7 linked regions of the Nothobranchius furzeri genome follow. The protein of the gene in region 1 purifies or fractionates together with the protein of each later gene. This does not show direct contact. Links are inferred from orthologs where the notes say so. Each region holds a gene or a part of one and is shown in the gene's direction. Other genes may lie near its edges.

Evidence for each region.
Region 2: the proteins of nfkb1 (region 1) and ikbkg purify together in Homo sapiens (affinity purification with mass spectrometry; 4 studies listed by BioGRID and IntAct, with this or other methods). This does not show direct contact. The link is inferred for Nothobranchius furzeri from reciprocal best matches to the Homo sapiens genes NFKB1 and IKBKG.
Region 3: the proteins of nfkb1 (region 1) and aurka purify together in Homo sapiens (affinity purification with mass spectrometry; 4 studies listed by BioGRID and IntAct, counting the BioPlex papers as one, with this or other methods). This does not show direct contact. The link is inferred for Nothobranchius furzeri from reciprocal best matches to the Homo sapiens genes NFKB1 and AURKA.
Region 4: the proteins of nfkb1 (region 1) and E3 ubiquitin-protein ligase RNF123 purify together in Homo sapiens (affinity purification with western blotting; 4 studies listed by BioGRID). This does not show direct contact. The link is inferred for Nothobranchius furzeri from reciprocal best matches to the Homo sapiens genes NFKB1 and RNF123.
Region 5: the proteins of nfkb1 (region 1) and copb2 purify together in Homo sapiens (affinity purification with mass spectrometry; 5 studies listed by BioGRID and IntAct, with this or other methods). This does not show direct contact. The link is inferred for Nothobranchius furzeri from reciprocal best matches to the Homo sapiens genes NFKB1 and COPB2.
Region 6: the proteins of nfkb1 (region 1) and lrpprc purify together in Homo sapiens (affinity purification with mass spectrometry; 3 studies listed by BioGRID and IntAct, with this or other methods). This does not show direct contact. The link is inferred for Nothobranchius furzeri from reciprocal best matches to the Homo sapiens genes NFKB1 and LRPPRC.
Region 7: the proteins of nfkb1 (region 1) and nfkbie purify together in Homo sapiens (affinity purification with mass spectrometry; 4 studies listed by BioGRID and IntAct, with this or other methods). This does not show direct contact. The link is inferred for Nothobranchius furzeri from reciprocal best matches to the Homo sapiens genes NFKB1 and NFKBIE.

Annotation. Positions count from the first base shown.
Region 1 is NC_091741.1:65,318,963-65,322,462, reverse strand, and holds part of nfkb1 (nuclear factor NF-kappa-B p105 subunit), read left to right. Parts: intron 1-671; coding exon 672-823; intron 824-1,276; coding exon 1,277-1,440; intron 1,441-2,678; coding exon 2,679-2,837; intron 2,838-3,500.
Region 2 is NC_091755.1:44,541,826-44,546,075, forward strand, and holds the start of ikbkg (NF-kappa-B essential modulator), read left to right. Parts: upstream 1-1,450; 5' UTR 1,451-1,475; intron 1,476-1,648; exon of another isoform or gene 1,649-1,973; intron 1,974-3,308; 5' UTR 3,309-3,310; coding exon 3,311-3,449; intron 3,450-4,250. Other genes in the region: tmed4 (transmembrane emp24 domain-containing protein 4), read right to left, coding at 247-372, 446-546, 1,173-1,362. UniProt on the Homo sapiens protein: Regulatory subunit of the IKK core complex which phosphorylates inhibitors of NF-kappa-B thus leading to the dissociation of the inhibitor/NF-kappa-B complex and ultimately the degradation of the inhibitor.
Region 3 is NC_091743.1:61,016,285-61,020,528, forward strand, and holds the start of aurka (aurora kinase A), read left to right. Parts: upstream 1-1,444; 5' UTR 1,445-1,521; intron 1,522-1,568; exon of another isoform or gene 1,569-1,770; intron 1,771-2,019; 5' UTR 2,020-2,022; coding exon 2,023-2,085; intron 2,086-2,781; coding exon 2,782-3,091; intron 3,092-3,173; coding exon 3,174-3,210; intron 3,211-3,301; coding exon 3,302-3,493; intron 3,494-3,602; coding exon 3,603-3,741; intron 3,742-3,844; coding exon 3,845-3,993; intron 3,994-4,145; coding exon 4,146-4,244. UniProt on the Homo sapiens protein: Mitotic serine/threonine kinase that contributes to the regulation of cell cycle progression.
Region 4 is NC_091743.1:77,259,113-77,262,612, forward strand, and holds part of E3 ubiquitin-protein ligase RNF123, read left to right. Parts: coding exon 1-37; intron 38-410; coding exon 411-496; intron 497-752; coding exon 753-839; intron 840-926; coding exon 927-994; intron 995-1,423; coding exon 1,424-1,549; intron 1,550-3,114; coding exon 3,115-3,229; intron 3,230-3,357; coding exon 3,358-3,462; intron 3,463-3,500. UniProt on the Homo sapiens protein: Catalytic subunit of the KPC complex that acts as E3 ubiquitin-protein ligase. Promotes the ubiquitination and proteasome-mediated degradation of CDKN1B which is the cyclin-dependent kinase inhibitor at the G0-G1 transition of the cell cycle.
Region 5 is NC_091751.1:58,291,829-58,296,097, reverse strand, and holds the end of copb2 (coatomer subunit beta'), read left to right. Parts: coding exon 1-71; intron 72-166; coding exon 167-255; intron 256-337; coding exon 338-444; intron 445-556; coding exon 557-700; intron 701-904; coding exon 905-1,035; intron 1,036-1,210; coding exon 1,211-1,418; intron 1,419-1,531; coding exon 1,532-1,642; intron 1,643-1,746; coding exon 1,747-1,961; intron 1,962-2,044; coding exon 2,045-2,183; intron 2,184-2,267; coding exon 2,268-2,405; intron 2,406-2,902; coding exon 2,903-2,980; intron 2,981-3,138; coding exon 3,139-3,288; intron 3,289-3,376; coding exon 3,377-3,472; 3' UTR 3,473-3,769; downstream 3,770-4,269. UniProt on the Homo sapiens protein: The coatomer is a cytosolic protein complex that binds to dilysine motifs and reversibly associates with Golgi non-clathrin-coated vesicles, which further mediate biosynthetic protein transport from the ER, via the Golgi up to the trans Golgi network.
Region 6 is NC_091752.1:25,410,348-25,413,847, reverse strand, and holds part of lrpprc (leucine-rich PPR motif-containing protein, mitochondrial), read left to right. Parts: intron 1-1,645; coding exon 1,646-1,773; intron 1,774-1,901; coding exon 1,902-2,017; intron 2,018-3,500. UniProt on the Homo sapiens protein: May play a role in RNA metabolism in both nuclei and mitochondria. In the nucleus binds to HNRPA1-associated poly(A) mRNAs and is part of nmRNP complexes at late stages of mRNA maturation which are possibly associated with nuclear mRNA export.
Region 7 is NC_091742.1:8,385,258-8,389,532, forward strand, and holds the start of nfkbie (NF-kappa-B inhibitor epsilon), read left to right. Parts: upstream 1-1,475; 5' UTR 1,476-1,681; coding exon 1,682-1,998; intron 1,999-4,231; coding exon 4,232-4,275. UniProt on the Homo sapiens protein: Sequesters NF-kappa-B transcription factor complexes in the cytoplasm, thereby inhibiting their activity. Sequestered complexes include NFKB1-RELA (p50-p65) and NFKB1-REL (p50-c-Rel) complexes.

The DNA of each region.
Region 1 (3,500 bases):
CTCTCTTGCCTCTTTTCTCTTTTCGTTAATTATAGTCGTTAGACATCAGTCAGAATCGATCAAAGCCTAGATGGGCAGAGCTCTGAGGAATCAGAAGTTGGTAACGGCCCTGAGAACTAGAATCTACATCTTTTATAAAATCTAAATGACAACAAGCACAAACAATGGGAGAAATGCTGCAGATGTTTGGTGAGGTTCAAAAAACCTGAGAATTAAATGTAATATTTTAGGACAGTTTGATGATTTGTTGTTACAAACTGCCTTACTGGGATATTATCGGTGTTGGCGTATCGCATCATATCATGATCCTTCTTCTCTGACTGATATCCACACGTTGAACAGAAAACCATCATGTGATCTCTGAGAGCGCGATAAGGCTCTTCTATCTCACCGAACACTCAAAGCTGATTTATCTCACTTTTGTGTAACATGTGGGCTGACTGGTTAATTCTATAGCTGATCTCTGATGTTAGTGGCGATGAGATGCAGTGGTGAGTCATCTGTCCCAGGAGAAAGTTTCCGTGAACCGCAGCAGAGAAAAGGTCTGAAGTGTTTGTGACTCATCTGTAGAACTCAGAAGGACTCAAAAAACCTTCATCTGACAGATCTCACCTCCTTTAGATCCTCTGGGTGTTTATCACAATGTTTCTGTGGTTGTGTTGGTGTTTCAGATCTGTAATTACCAGGGTAAGGCCCGGGTGGTGGTCCAGCTGGTGACGGCTCTGACCCCCATGCCTCAGCTTCATGCTCACAGCCTGGTGGGGAAACTGTGTGACAAAGGCATCTGCATCGCAGAAATGCAGTCCAAAGACTCCAGCATCAGGTCTGCATCACCCACACACAACCTGAAGCTTCTCTGTTGTAAGACTTGAAGAGCCGAGCAGATTAAAATGATCAGGAACTCTTTGTTCAGTCAGACAAAGAAACTAATGCTGCAGGAAATCAGTGACTTTTTAAGAAATGTCCAGAATGAGGAGAGGGGAAAGTAGAACGAGTCACAGCAGTTCAGACAGACAACAGATCTGTGTTCTAACAAGCCATGGGTGAGAGCTCCTAACATCTTCAGTTTTTTTTTCTTTCAAATATTAAAACAAAGAATGAAAAAAATGTTTTCTTTTGGCTTGTAATTTGTATGGAGGTAAGATATCAACGAGTCGATGTAACTTTATTTGACCTGTCTGACAGTAAATGCTGATCTGTTTTCTTGATTCTAAAATAGAGTAAGAACTGAACACACCTTCAGTTCTGTGCTGACAGTAACTTTTGTTTCTGTTAGTTTTCCCAACCTGGGGATCCTCCATGTGACCAAGAAGAACGTGGCAAAGACTTTGGAGGAGAGGATGGTGGAAGCCTTCAGGATGGGGTACAGCTGTGGGGTCGCCATCCACCCTGAGATCGACGTGCTGCAGGGGGAGGTCCGAATCCCACGAGAACTCTCAGGTCAGTCGCTGGTACCTGCCTCTACCAGTCAGAGTGCTTCATCTTCTTTAAATACAGAGAATTATCATCATCATCATCGTCATCATCAGTTTAAGGTCCACCTTAACAACATCATAAAGCTCAAAATAAGGTTGATGTTTCATCCAATTACTTTTGCTTTTGTTGAGCGTCACTCAGATCAGTGCTCCGATCAGCTGATCTGCTAATGCATTCATTAGCTCACCCATTTTGGCTCGCGACGGGGAATTTCCAGGAAACAGCAGAGCACGTCTCTGCTTGTAGAAGCTAACCGTTAGCATTAGCTACCCTACCACACAGCAGAACTCCTTCAGGTTTGTGTTATTTGTGGAGATAAAACATCAACTTTGCAGAATAAATGGAGTCGGTGGTAGAGTTGCATTGCTGTTAGCCAATTGGAAGCGAGATCTTCTAATATCATGAAATAAGACTCCAAACCGTCCAACGTCATCTGAAGCGCTCCTCTGCTCTGGCTCACTTTTAGTTCTAGAGCTTTTTCCTACAGAGATTGACTCACAAGGCATTCATTTGTACTAGAGATCACAACAATGTGTTGGATCAAAGTGTGTACTTGGTCTTACTTGACTGGATAGACATTTATTTTTATTTTCTAAACACATTCATCGTTTTTAATTTTATTTTCACAGTTAATATTTTTCAAATTTGAGATTTTTTATTTTTTTTTATTTCAGAAGTTTTCTAAAACTGAGGACAAAAGATTAGAAATTGTAGAGAATAACTCAAACTCAGCCTTAGAGATAGGGTGAGGAGCGCGGACATTCGGGAGGGACTCTGGGTAGAACTGCTGCTCCTCCGGATCGAAAGGAGTCAGTTGAGGTGGTTTGGGCATCTGGTCAGGATGCCTCCTGGACGCCTCCCTGGGGAGGTGTTTCGGGCATATCCTGCCGGCAGGAGGCCCCCGGGTCGACCCAGGACACGTTGGAGAGGTTACATCTCCAATCTGGTCCGGGAACGCCTTGGGGTCCTGCCGGAAGAGCTGGTGGAGGTGGCCGGGGAGAGGACGGTCTGGAGCTCCCTAGTTGGGATGCTGCCCCCGCGACCCGGACCCGGATAAGCGGAGGAAGACGACGACGACGACAACTGAAACTTTAAAAGAAATTTGAAAAAATGATCAATCAAAACTCAAGATAAGAACCGATAAAAATGAAGCGATCAAAGCTTCACTTTTCAACTTGTGTATTTTGTGTTTTACATCTCAGACCACCAGCGCAACATCATCAGCATAGCAGCAGCCAATCAGGCCAAAGAGATGGACCTCAGCGTGGTTCGGCTCATGTTCACCGCCTTCCTCCCCGACAGCGATGGAGGCTTCTCCAGGCGGCTCGAGCCGGTGGTGTCAGAACCAATCTACGACAGCAGTGAGTCCAATTGCACAGGAACACAGAAATGGACCAGTCTTACTCATAGGCGGAGGTCTCGGGGGGACGGGGGGGCACAACGTCTGATTTGTTATTTTAATTATGAATTTTTACAAGCTCATAAATCTCTAAGTAAGTGATGGACATAATCAAAACACAGGAATATTTATCATTTAAAGTACAACATATGTGTGATTCAGGGTGAACGGCAAAGCGGGATAGAAAATCGCTTTTATAGCCCCGTTAACTTCCTTTCATTTATTCTTTGTTCCGGGGACTGAAATCAAGTTCTGAACCGTGGAATGCTGAAATCACAACTAACCATCATGGATCCCACCAGATTTGTGTCAGAGCAAAATTAAAATCCTGCTCTGGATGTTGGGCTGCATGAAAGTGCAGCGGTTCACATTGTAGACTCACAGGAACAGGGTGGCAGGTTCTAATCCTGACTGGGCCTCTCTGTGATATTTGTGTTCTCCCCGTGTTTGCTCCAGGGTCTCTGGTTTCCTGTCACCCCTAACAGTTGAGTTTGTTGAGTTAAGTCAGCTTTATTTATATAGTAGTTAGCATAAAAGCTGATCAAACTGCTTAACAACAATAAAAACAAGTACACTAAAGGCAACAGCAATGCTAAAGATAACATTATGCTAAAAATCCTCAAAA
Region 2 (4,250 bases), on another chromosome or scaffold:
AAACTTCAGCGGTTTAGGAGGAGCAACCAAACCAAAATATTCCTTCTTTCTTAAGGAAAATCTAACTGAACACACACATTTCCAGCTGCTGCTGATGTTTTTGTCCCTGCTTCTATTACTCGTTCACTTTTTTGACAGGTTTATGTGTCACTTCTACACTGAAACAATATTTACTTTGGTTTTTTTAACCCAACCTGTGGAAAAGTGAAACCGTTAAAAGTCAAGCCATGGTCCTGGTCTCCGTACCAGCTTTCCTCCTGCAAACAGAGCCATCTTTGTGGAGTTGGAGTGCAAACAGATCTGATGCTCTCCAGGAGTGTGAGAGGTGAAGGTGAAGCGTCCGTCAGAGCCGTACTGACGAGAGAGGATGATCTGGAACGTGGAGGAGACACCTTCAGACTTACACCTCTGCTCTGAACCTCCAGACCTTCCTGTCTGGCTTTACCTTCGTGTCTGGATCCTTGATCTCTACATGCATGCCAAGGCCGGGGGTGGATGGGAGGAAGGAAGTGGTTTGTTTGTCCCACAGCTGAGTCCGGTACTTTCCTGTCACACACACACACACACACACACACACACACACACACACACACACACACACACACACACACACACACACACACACACACACACACACACGATCATCCACAAATTGGATGCCAGTAATAAACCAGCTTAACATCTGCTGTCCTGTGTTAGGACGGAATATTGGACACATGGATGTAATAATAGTATTTATCTCATAAAATCATCCCAGCAATGAATGAAATATTTAATAAACATTCACATTTATACCCCATCTCCTCTTTGCATTTAAAAGATTGTGTATTCATTTTGATATTTGACAGATCTTTTGTTTAGGTTTGATGGAAATACCTTCGTAAACAGGAAAATGTTTATTTTATTGATAATAAACAACAAGCTAAAGATCAATGGCCAAAAGTTGAATGTTTCCCTTAAATGATCTGAATTTTCAGATATTTAAACGTTATTTCTCCTCAGTGGTGAACAACCCGCAGCTGAAGCCTCCAGAATTTCCTGTCTGACTCGAGTCTCTAATAATAATAATAATAATAATAATAATAAACAACTATTGGTGTCATCTGCTGCATCTTTAAACAACCAGCTGTTAGCAAGACGGCTAGTTAGCTGCGTTAAGCTAACCGGCTCACCGATCACCATCGTCTCGTCTGGAATTTCTTCAATGAAGCATTTTTTCTCCGTCTCTCCGATGTGGAAATAAAGCGCGCCGCTGGGGTAAATCCAGGCCACCAGAAGAGAAACCGCTGCGGCAGAGATGGGGAGCATCTTCACCTCCTTCACGTTAGCGGACATCAAAATGCTGCAGCGCACTGACGTCATCTTCCACTACGGAACAAGGAAGGGGCTTTCCTGAGAACGGAGTGTTTACACCCTGGGTTAATACTGACAGGAGAGTTTTCCTCTGCAGCGCTTAAAGATACGATGTGCCACTGGTATTATTTAAATTCACAGCCATTTCGATTTGATCACACACTTGTAATTTGTCAACTTTTTTATTGTTCATTTGTGTTAATTAAACGTCTTAAAATAAACGACACGTTTTTCGATGTTCGAGTCACGGGTGTTCTGCCTACAAGGCTAAACTGAGGGTGATATATCACGATTTTTCCACGCTAATAACAGTCGAAAAGCTGACAGCTTACCTTTGGTTTGCCTCTGATTTACCTCTGGTAGTCTTAAACTCACGAAGGAAAGGATTCAAAACTGGACACATGCTTTAGGAAGGCCACATGATCCGTTGATGTAGGTCCGTGTTTATGTGAAACCAAAGGCGTCCGTTTGCCCAGCCGTTGTTGTGCTATATTAGCTTACTGAGCTAATTAGCTGTATCTCAGCTGTTTGAGTCAGATTGCTCTTTTAAACTCGGTGAAGGGAGTAGTTTGTGAGTCTGAGACTGGATAATTGTTGTTTACGACATAAAATTTAAAAAGGTAAGACAAGTTTTGTGTCTGTTAGCTGTGTGTTAGCTATGTTGTCTAAACAGTATTTAACGTGAGCTTTGCTGAGGTTATCGTGATGTTCTTCATAGCAGACACCTGATCTTACTTTTATGACAATGACAAGGCTGAGGTCCCATAAGAAGAGGTTGATGACCACCTGTTCTCAGGTGTAACTGTTCAGAAGGGCTTCTGGCACCTCGCCAATGAGCCGTGACACAAACCGGTCATATTAAACACAGTTAATTCACATTTAAACTGAAAGTGAAAGTTTCACGTTTCCAGATCCCCAACGGGGCTGAAACGTGTCCAGTCCCCCTAGACGTCATGCTCAGGTCTTACTTACACCTGAAATGTTCACTTGTTCCATGGTGGCTTTTAGGATCGTTTTTCATTTTATTTTTCTTTTAATCACATATTTATGTACTTCTTATTTTAAAATCAAACAGCACAGCCACGATTTGAGCCTGCTGTCTCTCAAATAATAACAATTTTAATTGAACAAGGACAATATTCATACAAGGGAAAAATATACATGCAGGAGATCCTTGTGACTTCCTGTTTTTTCATCTTTATGAGCCATTTGGTATGTTATAGTAATGTGAATTTAACAATAAGAACATGGTGATAACTAGAATTAGAACCATTTGTATTTCTGATATTTTTGTGCATTTGAAAGCGATCGGCTGTAGACTCAGATAATTGCTTGATTGTTCTTTTTTCTAATTTACTTCTGACTTCAATGTGTAGATTATTGGAAACCATATTTATAAGTAAGGAAGTAGTTAGCGAACCAGGGGAAACTTTTTTCTTACTAGAGCTACAGAAGCAGCAAAAGTTGCTGTTTTGTCTGTTGTTGCATTAGATGACAATCGGAGCGACCACAATAACATAAAAAAAGGAATAGAATAGACTTTATTAATCCCACAGTGGTGAGATTCACTCACTACAGGTGTGACGTCATAAAGCAGTAAAGAAGTGACTGAACTCTGCAGTTTCTGGGATGATTTTCTGTTGGTGGTGAAACAAACTGTTCCTGCCTCTGCTGGTTTGAACTGACCTGCAGTGTTGATGGTAACAGGTTTTTTAGTCTTTCTTACCAACGTACACAATATGTTTTAATTTGACTAACAAAAAAGTTTCTCCAATGCCCGTTTAAATAAATGCCACGAAGGCTGGATTTTAGACGTTATTAAAAAATGAGCTAAAAGTGTAACAAGTCTCCAAAGGAAACCAGGAAACAGGTTCAGGAACCGCCAGAGTCTGAGTTCTTCATATGAAGAAGTGAATGGATTAGATCTCTGTAATTCCCAGCCTTTGCTTCTGCAGGAATGGTGCAGCCGCAGCCTGATGGTCCGATGCAGTGGGACATGTCAGGAGAGGACTGCGGGGGGGTCCTCAGGGTCCCACCAGAGTTCGCTGGTAATGAAGTGGTGACCAGATTGTTGTGTGACAACCAGCAGCTTCGAGGTACCTAAAAACACACGACGGTCACGCTTGTGTGTATTACCAGATGCTCAGCGGGGCTTTTAGGTTTCCGTGTGTCTGATTTAGCATTTTCAGAAGTCGTTTAAGTTTAGAGTTATCGAGGTAAAAGAACAAAGTAAATTCAAACAGTAATTTCAGCCTTTACTGTAACGGTGATTGGATGCAGGAGCGGTGTCCACGACAGGCTGAGTTTATCAGGATCAACACATGCTGCTTTTATGCAGTTCCAGACTTTCCTAGATGACAATCCAATCCTTGAGTTTTTCAGTCTGCTTCTTGTTGTCGGCACAGCTCTGAATCTGCTCTTCTAGCTGTCCGTAGCAACATTTCTTTAGCTGCTGATGCTAAATCGGCAGCGGTTTTGGTTCTACTAGCCCTCTCAGCAGCCTCGACACAATCAACCACCCACTTCCTATCAGAATAGTATGTTGGCATTTGAGGTAGGAGTCAGTGAATCCTGCCTTGCTCAGCTTCAGAGGGTTCTGAGTGCTGCAGCTCGCCTTTTAAGTGGCAATCAAAGGTTTTCCCTCATTTTAGCCTCCCTGCACTGGCTGCTTGTTCATTTTAGGATTGATTTTAAAATGATTTTATTTGCTTTTAAGGGCTTAAATGGCCCGGCCCCTCCCTATCTGTCTGAGCTACTGCATCGCTACACGCCCGCTCGTTCGCTCAGGTCAGCTGATCACAGGAGTAGCTACTCCTCAACACGGATCAGTCACCCACACATTCACACACTGGTGGTGATGAGCTACGATGTAGCCACAGCTGCCCTGGGGCGCACTG
Region 3 (4,244 bases), on another chromosome or scaffold:
AGACCGCAGCATGAAGAGGTCCTGAGAAATATTTTCAAATCTGGACGATGATGATGATTGAGAAGATCGAGCAGCACACTCAGGGACCGGTTTAAATACCTCCGCCATTGTATGTTTGGATTGGCAAGAAGACTTCAGAGGCACCTGGTGGAACTGGAAAGGAGAACAAGTGCCAAAGCAGATGCAGCGTTTTAGCCAGATTGTCGCACACACCTTTGCCAGATGTGCTTTTTATTTTGTAACAACCTCAGAATGTCAACAATGTTTCATCTGGTAGAAAATAGTATGAAGAAAACCAGATTTGTGGAGGGGTTTGCAAATAAACTAAGATGGCAGAAATATTTTTGTCAGCAGATTTCAAATGCAATTTGTGTCAATTATAAATGTAAGAAGTGCGGTTTGATTAGCTAAGGTGAGACCTAAAATATGAGGATTCAAAGTTTAACAGTTATGTCTGTTTATGTTTGAAAAACATCTCAAGTTTTTTCCTGTGGGACCGCATTCATGTAACGCCTCTCTGTAACAAGCAACTTGGTTCTGACTGTACTCTGTTATAACTTAGTTATTTTATTTCAATGGAAGGGATCAATGTTTTTGCCATATTTATATTTAATTAGAAGACCTTCTCAAGTGTTGCGCCATTGTAATGTGGACATTAATGTGTCCAACAGGAACTTGACCAGTTTATCAGCTTCCACACTAGATCCTGTCTGTTTACCTTCATCTTGAGGCCTTTGCAGTGACACATTTTAGTATCAAAGCTCTGCTGCACATGTTGTGGAGGCTGATCTAAATTCTCGAATGGTTACAAAGTGCATTTGAGAGGGTCTTCAAGTGGCTGCACTACTTTTTTATTGTATGCATTTGTAACATTTAATATATTTATTTTGTAAAACTGTTTTAAGAAGTGCAATGTTAGTTTCTTGATTGTAAAATTTTAGGACACATTCTACGTTAAAGGTAGCTTGCATAGATGTCTGTGGAAAGTGCACGAGTGCATGATGTGGCAATAAAATGTCAATTCTATGTGAAAAACAGTGTCCAGTGGTATTGCTTTGTCAAATGTTAGTTCTTATTATCTTTTCAAGATTTTTATTCATCAAATACCATACTGTAAAAAAAGCTTTTCCTCTCCACTTATCAATACAAAATTCGATTATTTAAAAATAAAATGAAAAATGTGTGAAGTGCACACATGTATCAGAAATTTGTAAACAATTGGGAAATTGGTCAAACGTGGACTGCTAAAGGTATAAATTTGATATTTTCAGGAGCACTTTTTCCTGGACTCCATATTCAACCATTCCTCTACTGCCCCCTACCGGTTGGAATGATTCTTTTTACGTCATCCTGTTTCCGTTTTTTTTTCATATCATAACAGCCAATGGAAGGCGAATTTAGAGCATTCATTCAACCAATGAAAGCCGTTTGTTTCTTTAAAGGTTTTGAACAGAGGGACGTTTGAAATTAAACAGGCTGCGATTAAGGAAAGTGTCCTCCGGACAAGCATTTTTCCTCAGAGTACGCACTTTTGCGTGACTAAAATTTGTTAGCTAATTTCAAACCATAGTTTACGACACGGATATTGCTACATTGTTTGATTACTGCTGTTTGCCTTACATGTAATTAGAAGACATCGACATTACCTGTTCAACCGATCGATGTAGCTGCTAGCAAGCCTGGGTAAAGGGTTACCTGCTCGGGGGCTGCTTTCATTTAGGGTCAATCAACTAGTTGCTGCTCATTTGGTTATCGTGCAATACTATTTAGGTGAGTAGTTAAACTAACCTGTCTTTATTACCAGCAGTTGTGTCAGACGACTTGACATACTAGCAGCTATGCTAGGCTAGGCTAACGCGAAGCTGTTCTCTTTATACGTTTGAATGACCGTGCCAGAGTGGATGCTGGGGGTTACTTTTACATTTTGTCACTATTATTTTGAAGAAAGCTGCCACGAGAGTTTTATTTTAGTAGTGGTGGAGTTTAGTCATGTTTGAGTTATACCTGATGTCTTCTCAGACTATGGACTCTTCCACCACGCTGAAGGTTGCAGGGCTCGTGAAACCTCCAAGGCCTGTTGTAAAGGTAAAGCAAGTCTAGTTTAATATAAAACAGTCAGCCAGGTGTTGACACGTAAATCTCATGTTGATCTTGAGGCTCTGGGTTAAACTTAAATTTAGCAACGTAGTGCCTTACACAAGCATATGTGGGCAAATATTAATTAGAAGTAATGTACAAAGAAAAGTCAGTCATTCAATCTTGTATTATTGATGGCAAAATGTTCTGTTATTGTTGGCTTGTGTGTTGATTGGTCTCTAGTGTTATTGGAATATCTCACGAGTCATTGGGTAGTTCACAGCTAAACTTGGGAAATAATCATTGGATTGACTAACTTAACTCTTGATTCAAGATGGCTGCCACAGCTAATCAAGATTAGCAATCACAGAAATGACTAGCTCAGACATTTTTTTACATACATGGTCTTCAATTTTGGTGCGACAGTCTGAGTAATCCCAAATTCCCAATCTTGCACCACTATAACGCTGAACATCTTCGCTTACTTAACTTGCAAAAACGTTTCATGGACCACTGGAGGGAATTTAATGAAACACTTAAAAGTTGTCATTGGATCTACATCCAAACCAGAATGTTGGTAGAGAAGTATGAAATATCTTTTAAAACTACATATTTCTAGACCTACTACTTATTTTTTCATTCATCACTTTGTGTAAAATTGCTGTAAATCTGATTCTAATAGTTAATGACCTCTTGTGATTGCAGTCCAGTGGTGACGGGCCGAGGCGTGTTCCTGTATCGCATAACTCAAAGGCCGTTGTCACACCAACTCAGCCACGAGTCCTCGGTGTGTCCAATGGTCCCCAGCGCGTTCAGCGGCCAGTCAGTCATCAGAAACCAGTGTCTCAGGTCTCTGTTGTTAAGTCAAAACAGCCTGCTGACCAGAATGCAAACCCTGCTACACCATGTTCAAATCCACCACAACCAAAGCCTGTTTCCCAGCAAAACCAGCCGACGACCCATGTACCCAGTGCCAAGCCTCCCTCTGATCCTGCAAAGCAGGCAAAGCCACAGAGTATGCACATTTCTAAAATAAACAAGAATAAGCAAGTGTTTGTTGTAGACACTAAAATATCCTTTTTTTTTTTTTTTTTAAGACAAACCTGCCAAGACTAATCAGGTGGCCCCATCAAAGTACGTCAAGTGCACATTCTACATTCTATTTGTGCAATAATTCAACAGATCAGAATAGGATTTCTAACTCTGTACTGCTGTGTAAATGCAGAACGCGGTGGTGCCTGGAAAACTTCGATATCGGCCGTCCCTTGGGGAAGGGCAAGTTTGGGAACGTCTACTTGGCGAGGGAGCGTCAGACTAAATTCATCTTGGCCCTGAAGGTGCTCTTCAAGAACCAGCTTGAGAAGGCTGGGGTGGAACACCAGCTGAGGAGAGAGGTGGAGATTCAGTCTCATCTCAGGTGATGTGATGTGAAAATTACAATAAAACACCAATCTAAACTTTATCCTCTGTCTTGAGTTCCTTTAAGACAGTTTCACAGAATTCTCTCCTGCATGGGTTTCATACAGGCATCCGAACATCCTTCGTCTCTATGGCTACTTCCATGATGCGACCCGTGTGTATCTCATCCTTGAGTTTGCACCTAAGGGAGAGCTGTACGGCGAGCTGCAGAAGTGTGGAAGTTTCCCAGAAGACAGGAGTGCAACAGTAAGTTAAAAACACTTCAAACTTCAAACACAGTCAACATTCCACAGGTTTATTGAAGGTGTACTCTTAATTCCACTTACTGTTTTTTCTTTTGTGTTATTAGTACATTATGGAGCTGGCAGATGCTCTCCACTATTGCCACATCAAGAATGTGATCCACAGAGACATCAAACCAGAGAATTTGCTCCTGGGAGGCAACGGGGAGCTGAAGATCGCTGACTTTGGCTGGTCTGTTCACACCCCTTCATCCAGGTACGCAGATGTGTTTAATGCAACTTCTTACTGTGTTTTATGGGCTCTGGTCTGCTGATGTTGAGGATCGTTGTCTGGTTTTTCTTTGTGTGACGATCTTTTCTGTCCTTGCATAATAAAGTCCTATTTTAGAAATGTTTTTACCCCTGCAGAAGGTCCACTCTGTGTGGAACACTTGACTACTTGCCCCCAGAAATGATTGAAGGCAAAACCCATGATGAAAAGGTGGACCTTTGGAGCCTGGGGGTCCT
Region 4 (3,500 bases), on another chromosome or scaffold:
TTCAGCTCCATCAGAGCCACCACGTGTGTTTATAAAGGTAAATGAGAGCGATGTTCAGAGTTTCCCCTGCAGGTACAAAACCAGACTGTATACACGCACGCACGCACGCACGCACGCACGCACACACACACACACACACACACACACACACACACACACAGAAAACAGGTCAGGAGATGGGCCAGCTGGTTGCCGTTCAATCAGATCAGTCTCCTGTTATTAAACCTTCAGTTCTGTTTGAAAAGAAAACCTAAACAGAAGTTTTTTAATTATCAAATTTACTGACATGGGAAAATTTTTGTCGATAAGAGCCAGAAATTTTGATAACGATTAATTTTCGATTTATTGCCCAGCCCTAGGACAACTGTTAGCTAGAGGTTTGGACCTAACCAGAGGTTCTGTGTCTGCAGGGAAATGGGCCTACGAGGTTCTGATCTCCTCTCAGGGTCTGATGCAAATCGGCTGGTGTACCCTCAACTGTCGCTTCAATCAGGAGGTGCGCACACACACACACACACACACACACACACACACACACATAAATACATGCATACACACACATAAATACATGCATACACATACATCCATTCATACACACACACACACCTGATACCTTATTAGATGAAACATCTGTCAGGTTTGCTGAGAGTCACACACATTAGTTACCTGTTAAAATTTGAAGTTTGATGTTGAGTCAGACCTGGCGTGTTCGAGTCGGTTTGCTGCAGAATCACAATCATGTTCTGGTCCAGGAGGGAGTCGGTGACACTCCAGACTCATACGCTTACGATGGGAACAGAGTGAGGAAGTGGAACGTAACCACCACGAACTATGGAAAGGTGAGTCCTAGACTGCATGCGCGCATGTATGTGTGTGTGACACTGAGATCAAGTTAAATACTGATGCATGTTGTGTGTTTTGTGCAGTCGTGGGCAGCTGGAGACATTGTGAGCTGTCTGATCGATCTAGACGAAGGAACCATCACATTCTGCCTGTAAGTCCACATGAGAGCAGTGGAAAGAGGCAGGCTAATAGTTTCCACCTGTTTTCAGTGTTTATGCTAAGCTAACTAAGAGCAACTGGAGCTGGGCTAAGCTGTGCTTCCAGAAATTTATTTTTCTAACATTTAATTTGAAAACTTAGATTTTGTTCCAATTAAAAACGTCATCTCAGTTCTGTGCAGCGTTTAGTCACAGTGAGAAGAGACGTGTTGTTAAGACTCAGTTTTAACTTGTTCATGTGGAAACGTCGAACAGAACCAAGGAGAGACGACTCAAACGTACCAGTTTAATAATAAAGACCAGAGTTTGTGGTCAGTGTCTCAGATATTTACTCTGGTTCTGTTGTCCCATCATGCATTGGTGCTTCGTCTGTACATGGTGTAAAACCTGACTCCTGATCCAGGTCTTTGCTCCACGTGTAGGAACGGCCAGTCTCTGGGCACGGCCTTCACCAACATAAAGATGGGTCCCGGCGTCGCCTACTTTCCCGCCATCAGCCTCTCCTTCAAAGAGTCGGTGGCTTTTAACTTTGGCAGCAGACCGCTCCGATATCCTTCCTGCTCAGGGCTCAGACCGGATGAGGCTCAGCTGATCACTCACTCACTCACTCACTCACTCACTCACTCACTCACTCACTCACTCACTCACTCACTCACTCACTCACTCACTCACTCACTCACTCACTCACTCACTCACACACACACACACACACACACACACACACACACACACACACACACACGCACACTAGGGCTGTCGCGGTTGAGGAATTCCCCCTGCGGTGATTCAGGGTGGCTTAATATTGCGGTGTGCGATATTATTGCAGCCCTTTTTTTATTGCAGTACTATCTAAACATAATGTTTACACATTTAAAAAAGGTGAAAAATTGCCGTGCCTTCTTTTATAACACTTTACTGAATGCAGATCAAAGGGCAGTAACAACACAGATCGCAGTAACGTTTGTTTCTCCGAAAGTCGGAGTCCGACTGAACTTAAAAACAACAAAATTCAGGAGATTAAACTTTTAAATGCAAATTTGGCTGCAGCATCTAACAAATAAGAAACAAGTCCCCATTTTGTTTAGTTGTTTAAAATCAAGCATAAAAATTACATGTACCGGGCGCGCGCGCGCCGGGGGGCGGGCGCACTATCATTTCACTTTCACACACACACGAATGACGGTGATTTATAGCTCGGTCACGTCCTTGTTACCTACAAGGAAAACCAAGCATGTTAACCATACACGGTTTGAGAGAGGATCTGAGAGGGGTGGCAACATTTCCAGCAACACTGAAAACCCTCTCGGATGGTGCGCTCGTTGCACTAACGCACACGTACCTGTGTGCGACTCTGGCGAGCAAAGGGAATCTCTCCCGCTTGTTGCTCCACCGTGTCAGGGGGGTTTCTTTAGGGTGGATGCATTCCTCCTGCAGGTAGCGAGTGAGCTCCAGCTCGGCTCAAACTCTCTTCGGGACGGTTGCAGAAGCAGTGCTTGTCCGGGACTTCAGCAGGTCTCCGAGCGTTTATTATTATTTTTTTGCCGCTGGTGGCAGCTCTGTCTCGGCCAAGGACTCTGGCTGCGCAGCAGCTGACGTACTGAAAACCAAAGTGCTCCCAAAGGAGCAAAGTAACGTTTCGTGTTGATACCAGTGCAGCCATCCTTCTCAACATGCATCATTGAGTTGAACCAAGTTCAGTAATCGCGGTGGCCCATGATGCAGCGCGGTGGGCTTCTTCATATTGCGATATTTCATTTTTGCGGTTACCGCGACAGCCCTAACACACACGCAAGTTATTTACCGATTATGAATGTTATTTCCAGCAGCTTATTGGTTGACTTCAAGCTGCAGAAGAAGCAAGTGTTGAATCAAACCAACATTTACAGCAACATAGCTGGGTTCTGGTTCTGGGTTCTATAACAAACAAAAAGCTAAAATAACCAACAGAACATTCGTCTTCCTGCTCAGCCTGGAAACGCAGAACAAGGTTCAGAAAGAAATTCAGAGTTTCAGTGAACTCATCTTGATGTTGGGTGGTGATCCTTCTGCTGGAAGTGCAGACACATGAATACCTGAATACCTGGTGTTGGTCTTTGACATGGCTGTGACTCACGTACCCCGTGGAAGGGTACCTGCCCCTCCAGGACCCCCCCACTGCAGACCTGATGAAGGCTCACAAACTTCTGGGTTACATCAAGAACGTCCTGTCCACTTCCATCGACACTGAGGTGACTCACCCTGTTCTGGTACCTGACTGTGAAGTTTGTGTCTCAGTAATCTAAGTGTGTGTGTGTGTGTGTGTGTGTGTGTGTGTGTGTGTGTGTGTGTGTGTGTGTGTGTGTGTGTGTGTCTGCAGGAGGAGAAGCTGGTGGAGAAGGACTGTGCTGTTTGGAAGCTTCATGGAGATCCAACGGTCCTCGTGACTGTTGCTCACATCTTCAACCACTTTGCTCCTCTCATGGTGAGAGCAGTCGTGTTCGTTTAGTTATGTCTGAGTGA
Region 5 (4,269 bases), on another chromosome or scaffold:
ACTGCCATGGCTTTGAGGAACAAGAGCTTCGGCTCAGCTCAAGAGTTTGTCTGGGCACACGACTCCTCCGAGTACGTCCACACGGAAAAGATGTTTTTATCATCCTTCTGGGTGGTGATTTTGAGTCACTGTTGTTTAACATTTGCTGTTTGTCTTCCTTTAACAGATACGCCATCAGAGAGAGCAACAGTGTTGTCAAAATCTTCAAAAACTTCAAAGAAAAGAAATCTTTTAAGCCAGATTTTGGAGCAGAAGGTAATCAGACGAGTGCCGTTGGCTAGATTTCCAGATTGAAGACGGTCGTTTTATTCACTGGATCTGCATTTCTGCTCTGCAGGGATCTACGGGGGGTTCTTGCTGGGAGTTAGGTCGGTGAACGGACTGGCGTTTTACGACTGGGAGAACACAGAGCTGATCCGTCGCATTGAGATCCAGCCCAAGCATGTAAGACTTGAGTTACCTTGTCCTTTTACATACATGATACTCTATTTGAATCACGCTTTAAATGTTTTAGTCTGATTTTTCTTTTCTTTTTTTTTTTTTTTGGCTTGTTCAGATCTTTTGGTCAGACTCGGGGGAATTGGTCTGCATTGCTACGGAGGAGTCCTTCTTCATTCTACGTTACCTGGCAGAGAAAGTAGCCGCCTCCCAAGAAAACAACGAAGGTGTGACAGAGGACGGGATTGAAGATGCCTTTGAGGTCAGTGTGTAGATGAATGCCCGTTGCGGGAAGCCCGTATTTTTAACGCATTGTTCACCTGGCAGCTGTGTCTCTTTGCAGTGTTTGTAGCACGTTCCTAATAAACTAGAGGGAGCTGTTTTAAACTGACAGTTACTGAGCCGTACTGGTGTGTCTTTTGCGTGTATTATTTGCTAACCTTTTGTATGAATGTCCTATCCTCAGGTCCAGGGGGAGATCCAGGAGATTGTGAAGACTGGACTTTGGGTGGGAGACTGCTTTATCTACACCAGCTCTGTGAACAGACTCAATTACTTTGTAGGAGGAGAAATTGTGACTATTGCACATCTGGACAGGTAAGAACAGGTTGTTTAGGCCTTACTTATATAGGATAAGACCATGCAAGCACTACATTTACATTTATCAGAAAAAAGCAGTTCAGCGTCGATAAACGGACAGTCACACCTAGATAAAGAAGTAACACTAAACACTGGTGCGTAGTTCCATCCACAGTTTTTATTGTCCTTGCAGAACCATGTACCTGCTGGGTTACATACCAAAGGATGACCGGCTGTACCTCGGAGACAAGGAGCTCAACATAGTCAGTTATTCACTGTTGGTCTCTGTCCTGGAATACCAGACTGCTGTAATGAGAAGGGACTTTGGAATGGCAGACAAGGTGCTACCAACTATTCCTAAAGAGCAGAGGACCAGAGTGGCTCATTTCCTGGAGAAACAGGTGATGAAAACCCATAAAGACCTGCAATTATTTAATTTTTTATTTATTTTGCTCCTCATCAATGAACAGATGTGGTTTTAATTTGACACTGATGGTTTTATTTGTCTCGTCAGGGCTTCAAGCAGCAGGCTCTGGCGGTGTCTACAGACCCGGAGCACAGATTTGAGTTGGCCCTGCAGCTGGGAGAGCTGAAGATCGCCTACCAGCTGGCTGTCGAAGCAGAGGTTAGAGCTTTTGTCTCCTCACGTCGTTTTCTCGTTACTTTTCCAAACACTTTTTGTATTTGTGACTCATGTCATCACTGCTAACAAAATGTGTTTCTCTGCAGTCGGAGCAAAAATGGAAGCAGCTTGCAGAGCTGGCCATCAGTAAGTGCCAGTTCGGCCTGGCCCAGGAGTGCCTGCACCACGCTCAGGATTACGGTGGCCTGCTGCTCCTCGCCACAGCTTCTGGTAATGCCACCATGGTGGGCAAGCTGGCCGAAGGGGCAGAAAGAGACGGCAAGAACAACGTGGCCTTCATGACCTACTTTCTTCAGGGGAAGTGAGTATTTGATGTGGTGACAAACATGGTGTGCAGTAATTATAAGAAGATTCTGGATCATGTACGTACATATTCTTCTCTAGATTGGACCAATGTTTGGAGCTTCTGATCAGGACTAACAGACTTCCAGAAGCTGCCTTCCTGGCTCGCACATACCTGCCCAGCCAGGTGTCGCGTGTAGTCAAATTGTGGAGGGAGAATTTAGCCAAAGTCAACCAGAAGGTCAGATCTGGCATCAAGATCTTTGATTATATGATTTGCAAAGAGAAAAGTAGTTTGGACGCTTTAACCAAGCCTCTGTTGCAGGCAGCTGATTCATTAGCCGACCCTACCGAGTACGAGAATCTGTTCCCTGGGCTGAAAGAAGCGTTTGCAGCTGAATATTACCTGAGGGAAAGCTGCTTGGGCAGCTCCAGACCTGCTAAAGATTATCCTCTTGTTACAGTAAGTTTGACCTCTTAAAGAGCAAGTCACCCCCTACCAGTCTTACACCACTCCCACTTCCTGTTTGAAAAATGCAACAAATGCTGTTGCCTGGCAGACCGAGAGGGCGGAGCTGCTAACAAATACACACACAGGTTCACAAGGTCATTGTGACATCATAATGTCCCAGCTAACATCATAGTGTACCTCTTAGCCAAAAGCGATGGCAGATTTGAATTGAAATGCAGTGCAGAGTTTTTACCTGAAGAGGGCACAACACTGACAGTTTTAGACAGAATATTTAAATTTGAACTAAGATGCACTCAAGTGCCAAATTATTGACTACATGTGTCTTCAGCATGATTAGATACTCATTTATGTAGTTTGTCAGCAAAATAAAGTTGATTTGGAGGTGACTTGCTCTTTAAGTAAATTTTATTTTTAGAAGAAAGCACCAGCCAATCCTAAATACTGTAACTATTTTAACTTTTTTTTATATTATTATTTCACATTTTCAGCCCAATGAAGACAGGAATATTCTAGAGGAGGCTCAGGGGTACGAGCCCCAAGGCACCTTCGTTCCTCATGTCCCAAAGGTTTGTCCGCAGTAGCTTTAAGTCACCTTTAACACTAAATGATTGCCTCTCACACCTGTTCTTATTGCACAGCACCTTCAATAATATTCAAAATACCGATTTAGCAGAAGTTTGGCTAAAAGATGAAACTTTTAATCATTTATAACTTCTTTTTGCAGATGAAAGAGAGTGAAGAGTCCAGCTCGGCGCCGGTTTCACTAGTGACTCCTTCACAGCCCGAACCTGCTGCTCCCAAGATGGTAGAGAAAGAGGAAAAAGAGGAGGAGGAGGTAGAAATCCCTTCATTCTCTCAGTCACAGAAGGATAAGGTAAGTTGTTAATATTTACTGTATTTTGTACAACTCAATGATGAAATGGTGAAATCATGGTGTGTCCTTGGTTGGTGTGTGTCTGCAGACTCTGGATGAGCTGGAGGTAGACCTGGACAACATGGAGCTGGATGACATTGACACCACAGATGTTAACCTTGATGATGACTTTCTAGATGATTGAACCTGCCATCCCTTTGCTCTCTGACACTTTCAGAGCAGATTTAAATGAGACCAATTCCTTTCCCCTTTTTTGTATTTGTATGAAAAATGTTCTATTGTCATGTCTACTCACTGCAGCCTCAGATCTTCATCAGTAAAGTTTTAAATTCAGAAATAACAGATTGTATTTACTCCATTTTGTACACTATCTCTCCAGTGGGAAAACTCCACCAGTTAATATTATTTACTTTTTGTCTCTGTGCTTTGTGTTGTCTGTAATGGCAAATCAAAGTTCATTCAATAAAATCAATTGTGGTTGCTTGCTGTACATATTAAAATGTGACCTCAGGAGTTTCTATAGCTGAGTTTTCAAACATTATTCCCGCAATATATTGAAAACGATTTTAGAATTCATTAAATTCAGTTTATTTTTCCAACGCCAAAACAAGAGTCATCTCAAGGCACGTTACAATCTGTGACTATTTGGTAAACAACTGCAAAAAAGCTGGAAATGAGTTTTTCTTTTACAATGTTTTGTATATTAGAAGGTCAGAGGTCAATCAAAGATGGTTGTGACCCAAGTGGTCTTACAGGTGCATTATGTATAAATGAGGTTAAAAATGACATCCTGTGGTAAAATTTGGTTACAGCAATCACTTTAAACAACTGGAGCTTTATTATTCCGGCCGCCGCCAAATTGCAATTGTTAACGCTGCAGTATTGGCTCACGAGAGACATAGCAACCCCACACTCACTGATGGTAAACAGTAGTTATGTCCCTCCAGTTGTCTTGAAAGGAGAAAAACTGACAATCCCCAC
Region 6 (3,500 bases), on another chromosome or scaffold:
ATGAGGTTCGTCCTGGGTATCTCAAGGCTATGGATGTTGTAGGGCTGTCATGGTTGACACGTCTCTACAACATTGCGTGGTCATCGAGGGCAGTTCCTAGGGAGTGGCAGACCGGGGTGGTGGTCCCCATCTTTAAGAAGGGTGACCTGAGGGTGTGTTCCAACTATAGGGGGATCACACTCCTCAGCCTCCCTGGAAAGGTCTACGCCAAGGTACTGGAGAGGAGGGTCCGATCGATAGTTGAATCTCAGATAGAGGAGGAGCAATGTGGTTTTCGTCCTGGCCGTGGAACTGTGGACCAGCTCTATACCCTTGCAAGGGTGATGGAGGGGGCATGGGAGTTTGCCCAACCAATCCACATGTGCTTTGTGGATTTGGAGAAGGCTTATGACCGTGTCCCCAGGGGCACCCTGTGGGGGACGCTCCAGGAGTATGGGGTGGGTGGCTTTCTGTTAAGGGCCATTCAGTCCCTTTACCAGAGGAGCGTGAGTTTGGTCCGCATAGCCGGTAGTAAGTCGGACCTGTTCCCAGTGAGGGTTGGACTCCGCCAGGGCTGCCCTTTGTCACCGGTTCTGTTCATCACTTTTATGGACAGAATTTCTAGACGCAGCCGTGGTGTGGAGTGTGTTGAGTTTGGTGGCAGGAGAATCTCGTCTCTGCTTTTTGCGGATGATGTGGTCCTCCTAGCTTCATCCAGCTCTGACCTTCAGCTCTTGCTGGGTAGGTTCGCGGCCGAATGTGAAGCGGCTGGGATGAGGATCAGCACCTCCAAATCTGAGACCATGGTTCTCGACCGGAAAAGGGTGGCTTGCCACCTCCGGGTCGGGGGAGAGGTCCTACCTCAAGTGGAGGAGTTTAAGTATCTCGGGGTCTTGTTCACGAGTGAGGGTAGGAGGGATCGGGAGATCGACAGGCGGATTGGTTCGGCGTCTGCAGTGATGCGGACGCTGAGCCGATCTGTCGTGGGGAAGAGGGAGCTGAGCCAGAAAGCCAGGCTCTCGATTTACCGGTCGATCTACGTCCCAATCCTCACCTATGGTCATGAGCTTTGGGTAATGACCGAAAGAACGAGATCGCGGATACAAGCGGCCGAAATGAGTTTCCTCCGTAGGGTGGCCGGGCTCAGCCTTAGAGATAGGGTGAGGAGCTCGGACATTCGGGAGGGACTCGGAGTAGAACCGCTGCTCCTCCGGATCGAAAGGAGCCAGTTGAGGTGGTTTGGGCATCTGGTCAGGATGCCTCCTGGACGCCTCCCCGGGGAGGTGTTTCGGGCATGTCCTGCCGGCAGAAGGCCCCCGGGTCGACCCAGGACACGTTGGAGAGGTTACATCTCCAATCTGGTCCGGGAACGCCTTGGGGTCCTGCCGGAGGAGCTGGTGGACAAGGCCGGGGAGAGGACGGCCTGGAGCTCCCTAATTGGGATGCTGCCCCCGCGACCCGGACCCGGATAAGCGGAGGAAGACGAAGACGAAGAAAACAACATTCGGAGCAACTTTTTCTTGTAGTAACAAACTCAAACACAGCCACGTTGGACATTTTTTATGTAGTCCGTAATAAATGAGTGTTCAACTTGCACACAACCTTTTTTTTAAGTAAAACCAAACAGTAGTTGCTCCTCTAATTTTCCGACCCCATTCCTCCTCAGTGGTGATTTGAACGCAGCGGTGGAGTTGTTGGAAGACATCTACACGAGACCAGACAGCTCAAACCCAAGTATATCATTTGTCTTCAGGAAAGTCCTGGAATCTGGCAACGACAAAGCTCTGGACAAGCGTAAGACACACAAACCGGCAGGTGTTCAAAAGAAATGCCCATGATCCACATGCAGATGGGACGGTTTCAGCTTTGGAGTCCGGCGGTGTGAGATGGAAACCGACCCGTGTGTGTTTGTACTGTTGCAGTGAGTGCTATGGCAGAGCGGCTAGCCAACCACTTCTCCTGCTACAGACCGTCCACGGATCTCTTCCTCCAGCTGCTGAACATGGACAAAGTGGAGGACGCCAGACTCGTGCTGGCTGTGAGTATCTGGTGGGGGAAGGGAAGGGGGGTGCTTTACATGTGAAACATCACTGATTTCCTGTTGAGATTTCAAATTTCAGATACTTTGAGTGTGTATGACTTTCAGAATAGTTTCAGTCCACATAAAGGTTAAATGCTCCATGCAGCCAGGACATTTGTTGTATTTTGTTGTTATGATGATCAAAAACAAATCAACAATCATTGAAGGAAACTGGCTTTCTGCACAGGGTTAAGGAGGGGATGCATTTGTGTGCAGATCCCTGCATTACTTCACGTTTTGTGCATCTTTTGTTAGTAATCATGGATGTTTTTGTGCAGCTCATGTCATCTATCAGACCGTCCTACAAGTGAAAACTTTTTAAACAGCAACATGAAGCTGACATTCATCCAGCTTCAGCCACATTTCACCCGCTGAGCCCGGCGGTATTAACCTGGCTGTCTGAGACTTCACTTATTCATCATAGTTCATTCATTACAGCTCGGTGACTTCTCACTGATCCCTGGGACATGAATACGTAGCAGTTAAAAGGGAGGAAGAGGAGGTTGCACAGATGATGATGATGATGACTTGACTTCCTCCTGACTCTTAGTGCTTCCGTTTCCGTAGCAACTTCCTCATCATCAGCTGGTGTCTTACCAGAAACCACATATCTGATGTCAAAGCTAAAGGCCCATGCTGCAACAATTTAGAATCTGGTGCAGCATTTTTGTTTAAACCGACAATCAGCTGATGAGTTTCTAAATTACTTTGAGAGAAATACAAAAAATATCTCCTTCTGTGAACCAGTTGGGTCGATTTCCACAATAACTAATCGCACAGGAAGTCAACATGCTGGGATGTCTGACTAACATGCATGTTAATGAACGGATACATTACTCACTACTCCCATCTTTATTATTATTTAAACACCAAAAAAGGTTGGAGGATTTTAAAGCTACAGCAGAAGGTGCACTCAGCGGGTCAGTGGGAGATGAGGAATCATTTTCTAAGGTTTTTACTCATTACGTTCATAAACTATTCAACATTTTTATGTACTATTCATCTTTGATGTAATCTGAGGCATCCGTGCATCATTACTGTCTCTTTAAAACCAAAGCTTTAGAAACATTGACTTAAACGCATTGATTTAGTAAAACGTGACTCATTCTTGCTGTTTATTCGTCAGAGTTGAAAGCAATTTGGGAGTTGAAGAGTTAACATGGACGTGCTAAACTGATGCAGAGTTTTGGGGGTAAAAATGTCCAACAATAACTCCTCTGGAAAATAAGACACCTAATCAGTAATAATAAGCATCCCTTGAAGGACGCATTTCTTGCAAGTCTTCCAACTAAGATCTCAAAGCTATTTTCAGTTAAAACAATCACAAAATCTTTCTCAGTCAGCTGACGACTCACCTGCAACCACATCAGATTTTAGCTCCATATCTGTTCTGTTTGTCTTTTATAAAGTTTGAGTTTTACAGCCGGACCTGGTTTGTTTT
Region 7 (4,275 bases), on another chromosome or scaffold:
CTGGACTGTTGGCAGAATGTGGAGTGAGCTAACATAACAGTAGATCACACTAAAACAGATGGCAGTAATAAAGATGTCTCTTTGGAAGGGACTTTCATTTTATAGATTGTATTTATTTTAATCTGACTCACAATAGCAGCACATACTGTGTAAGTGAGCCCTCTGAAGGCCAAAGCACACAAATAAATCATAAAATGTGTTTAAAAAATATAAAAACATCCTATATGAATACTGTGGAGTTCATTGTAGGCTTCTCCAAGAGCAAAGTGAAGTAAAAAAAAAAGACATTTCTAAGCGCCCTGACTTAGTGTGGAAGACCTGATGCTTCTGGGACAGATGGCTCCTCTGATGGCGTTTCCTTGCGTTACCATACTTGGCTCATACTTGGCTCATCTGGGCTCAGCCAAATATAATTTTTACGTGTGTGTGTGCGTGTGTGTGTGTGCGTGTGCGTGCATATGTCTGTTATTGTTTTTAACCTGTTATGGGAATCTGGGGTCATTTTGTAAAGCACTTTGAATTGCACTTTGTTTGAAAAGCGCTTTATAAATAAATTTGATTGATTGATTGATTGATTTATCTTTATTTTAGTCACTTTCAGCATGATGTAATTTATATAAACAGTCATTGCTTTGGCAGCTTCTTGTGAAAATAAGAAACTTGAATAATATATGTGGTTTTGCTGCTACCCTGGAGTTTACTTTAAAAGTAAAACTGACATCTAGAGAATGTGCACTGCTGGAAATTACCATGAATCAAACTGAAGTCCAGAAAGAGTTGACTTAAACATAAATAAAACCAGCAGATTCAACTGCAACAAGTTTGCCCTAAAAATAATTATGCATAAGAAAAATAATCAGTATTGTTTAATTAAAAACGACAGTTGATATTTTAAGACTTTGAGACTTGTCTTCATTTGGATTATTGTATCTGAAACAAACAAAACAGGTTTTTTGAATATATTTTTTAATTTCTCTTCAGAGCCAGTTAATTGTAAATAAACAGATCCAACTTGACAGTTATTTCTAACCGTGCACGTCATTACTTTAAGGAATGTTCGGGACAAAGATTGGCCAAAACCTCGATTGCCCTTCGACATATAACTATTGTCCTATGCTTTAATTTTGAAAATCCCGCATTTCCGCCGTAAGCACGTTCTTTACGTTCTCTGTTGAACTGTGCGTGTGTGCGCTCGCGCGCGCTTGTGTGTGTTCGGTTCCTTCGCGCGCACTGGGGATTCCCCCGCGTGACAAAAACAGCTCTGGCTTTCAGATGTCAGCTCTTCCCATTATCGCCTTTCATTGCTCGTATGCTCTCCGCCTGGAGCTCGCTGCCACCGGATATCTCCCCGACTGTTAGCCGTCTGCTTTTGTTTTTAAACCAGTTTTGCTTTAACTGGGGAGTTTGGGAGAAACCGACATGGTTTGAAACGTTTTTTCTCTACAAAACAGAGAACCGATAAAGACCGACGGCTCGTTACTGCGAGGGAACGTGTGGTCGGTTATTGGCATGAGACGGAGCGGCTCATTTATCTGGTCTCACAAAGAAGCGGTGGTTTTCTCGTGCGCTAACAGGCTGTCCGGTCACACCGCCGAGGAAGCAGCCACGACAGCCGCCGCTGAAAGCCGTTATTAATCGGGGAAGGGCGGGTAGGGGAAACCCAGAAAGGGCCACCACCATCATGACGAGCCACGACTGTAGTAAGGACGATTTTCTGGAGGACACCCGCACGGACTCGGGGATTGACTCGTACCGCTCCATTGTGAAGCCGGAGGATTCCCGGGAGCCGAGTACCGACTTCGGCGGGCCGAGGGACAAGCTTTTCTCCCCGGACGAGCGCTTGGACTCAGCCTACGGATCTTCGTCCATCACGGTGGAGAGTCTGCCACCGATGGTGGAGGGTTGCACTTTGTCCACCGCCGAAGAGCAGCAGGAACAGATCTGTGAACTGTCTGAACAAGAAGACTTACTCACAACTATTACAGACGATGGAGACACGTACGTTTTTCTTTTTTAATTAGCAATTAGTTTAAATAATTTCTCTGTTTACAAATTCTGTCAAAGTGGTTTAATTATCCAACCATCCTCCAGCTCGCTTCCTGGAAGTTAATCTGCAGCATCTGGTAGAAATAAATCAGAGCTGCACCTAAAGATCCTCTATCTCCTGATTAAATCAAGAACTGTTTCCATTTCAGGACAATGAGTCTTAAGTATAAATCACGTGATAAATGAACACAATCAGCTGTTTTTAGAGTCAGATTAGAAAATCTCCCCCAAAATATTAAGTTTCCACCCATGTGCGAATTTCTATGAATGAGGCCTTATTTTCCAAAGTTACTGCTGGTGTTGAAGGGGATTTCATATCATGAACATGCAGAGTTTTTTTCTATTGTTGAACTTTGTCCATGCCATGAATGTGAACAGTCAGAAACCAGAAGTGAAACAGATAGGCCTGGACTTCCCCCTGCCTGCATCACAAAGCACATGTCTGCGAGGTACATCAACGAAACTGGTTGATCAGGACACAACAGCATCTGCGTGCATTATTCTCTCCTACAATTCAGAAGCTATTTGTTTTATTTTTAACTCTCATGCATCAAATGCTCTTTTTTTTCTGCTGCTCATTCCTCCTCTTGACTCAGTGAAACTGCACCTTTTTCTTCAAACGATCCACACCTCCGCATGCAGCTTCTTCAGCCTTTGCAGGGCTTCTAGTGTGACCCACTCATCTGGGGCCATCCGTGTGTGTTTTAACAATAAAGCAGGCTTAGTAATGAAATCTACAACCACTGTGATGTAGTCACAGGATTGCGGAAATGTCGCTTTAGTCTCTGACCTCTTTTAATTTCCGCTCGCTGACTGTCAGAGCCATATGGTTTCATTCTCACACCCTAACAATAGATACCTGCTGGGGAAGGGGGAAAAAACACCTGAAACGCTAACAGAGAGAACTATGCAAACACTCACTTTCCCCTGTGGGAATTTTTTTAAAAAGTCATTCATTCAAGATTTACCCAGACCTGGAAGTCCCGCTCAAACTCAAATCATGCTTACAGGGTTGAATGATGTTAGCCTGCAGACGTTTGGGACGAACTTCACACAGACACATCTGCCAAAAACATCAAGAGGTTTGATTATGGCATTTTCTTGATCCGCTTTCAAGCATTTTTTTTAAAGATTCTTCCTTTTATTCATTTTGTTTGTGCAAAGATGAATTTGAGCTAATTTGTCTGCTTCTTTTTACATTTAAATGTTAACATTCTGCAAAACGATTCATGTTTTTAGAGGAAAAGCTCACATTTCAAAGGTATATGACAGATGATGCAAATGCTATTTGTACTGGTTTTAGCTAAATTCAGGAAAAAACCTGCAGAAATGTGCTTCAGTTGTCTGCAGTTGTGAAAACTTTTCTCTGACATTTTTCATTTTTGAAATGTATTAGTCTTTGTGCTAACCTGTCAGTTTCTGCAGAGTAATTGTATCCAACCACCATTATTATCATGCATTTTATTTTATCCACCTTAAATGTCTTTTTTCCGTTTAGTTTAGACGTTGAGAGTAGAAATCTAAATGAACGTCTGCACCGTGAGATTTTGCGTCTCCTTTTGATCCCACTGCTGTCTGAAGCAGGTTTTAGTTCTGTGACATTTATTCTGAAACGAGAGCACGCTGCGGTTAAACAGCCTCTGAGCTCATCCACTACGGCTGCTACAAGCAGCTCTGTAGCCGTCTTGAATGTTGCACATGGATGTTCACAGCTCGATTTGAATGTGTTGAAATCAGCCGAAGCCTGCGCTGCTTTCTTCTAAGCTAGTTTAAATTAAGCACCAAAGCTTGGTTCCATTTCCTGCTTTTGCATTCGTTTGCTACCACTTCCCACGCAGCCTCTTGAGGTTTTTGTGTTGTTGTTTCGCCTTGTTGTTCACTTCATCCAGCGTCTGGTTGAAGGTGATTTTTAGCACTAATATGAGGTCTTTTCTAGTTTTGTGTGTTGCACACCACCCCTGCTGCTCAGTTTTGCCGTGCAGCCCACTAAAAGTTACACTCTGAGGCCCTCTTTTGAGATGAGTACTGAGGAAAAAAGTGATACGATGCTTTTTCGTTGAAGCGTCAACTTTTGCTACCCACCTACAGTTACGGTGCAGTTCTTGCTCAACATGAGAATACCCAGAGCTGCAGGGTTCTCGAGGATAAAAAGGATCGAAGTAATCGTTTTTGATCTCTTCTGTAGAATCCTGCACCTTGCGATCATCCACGAGGACACACAGGTGGCTC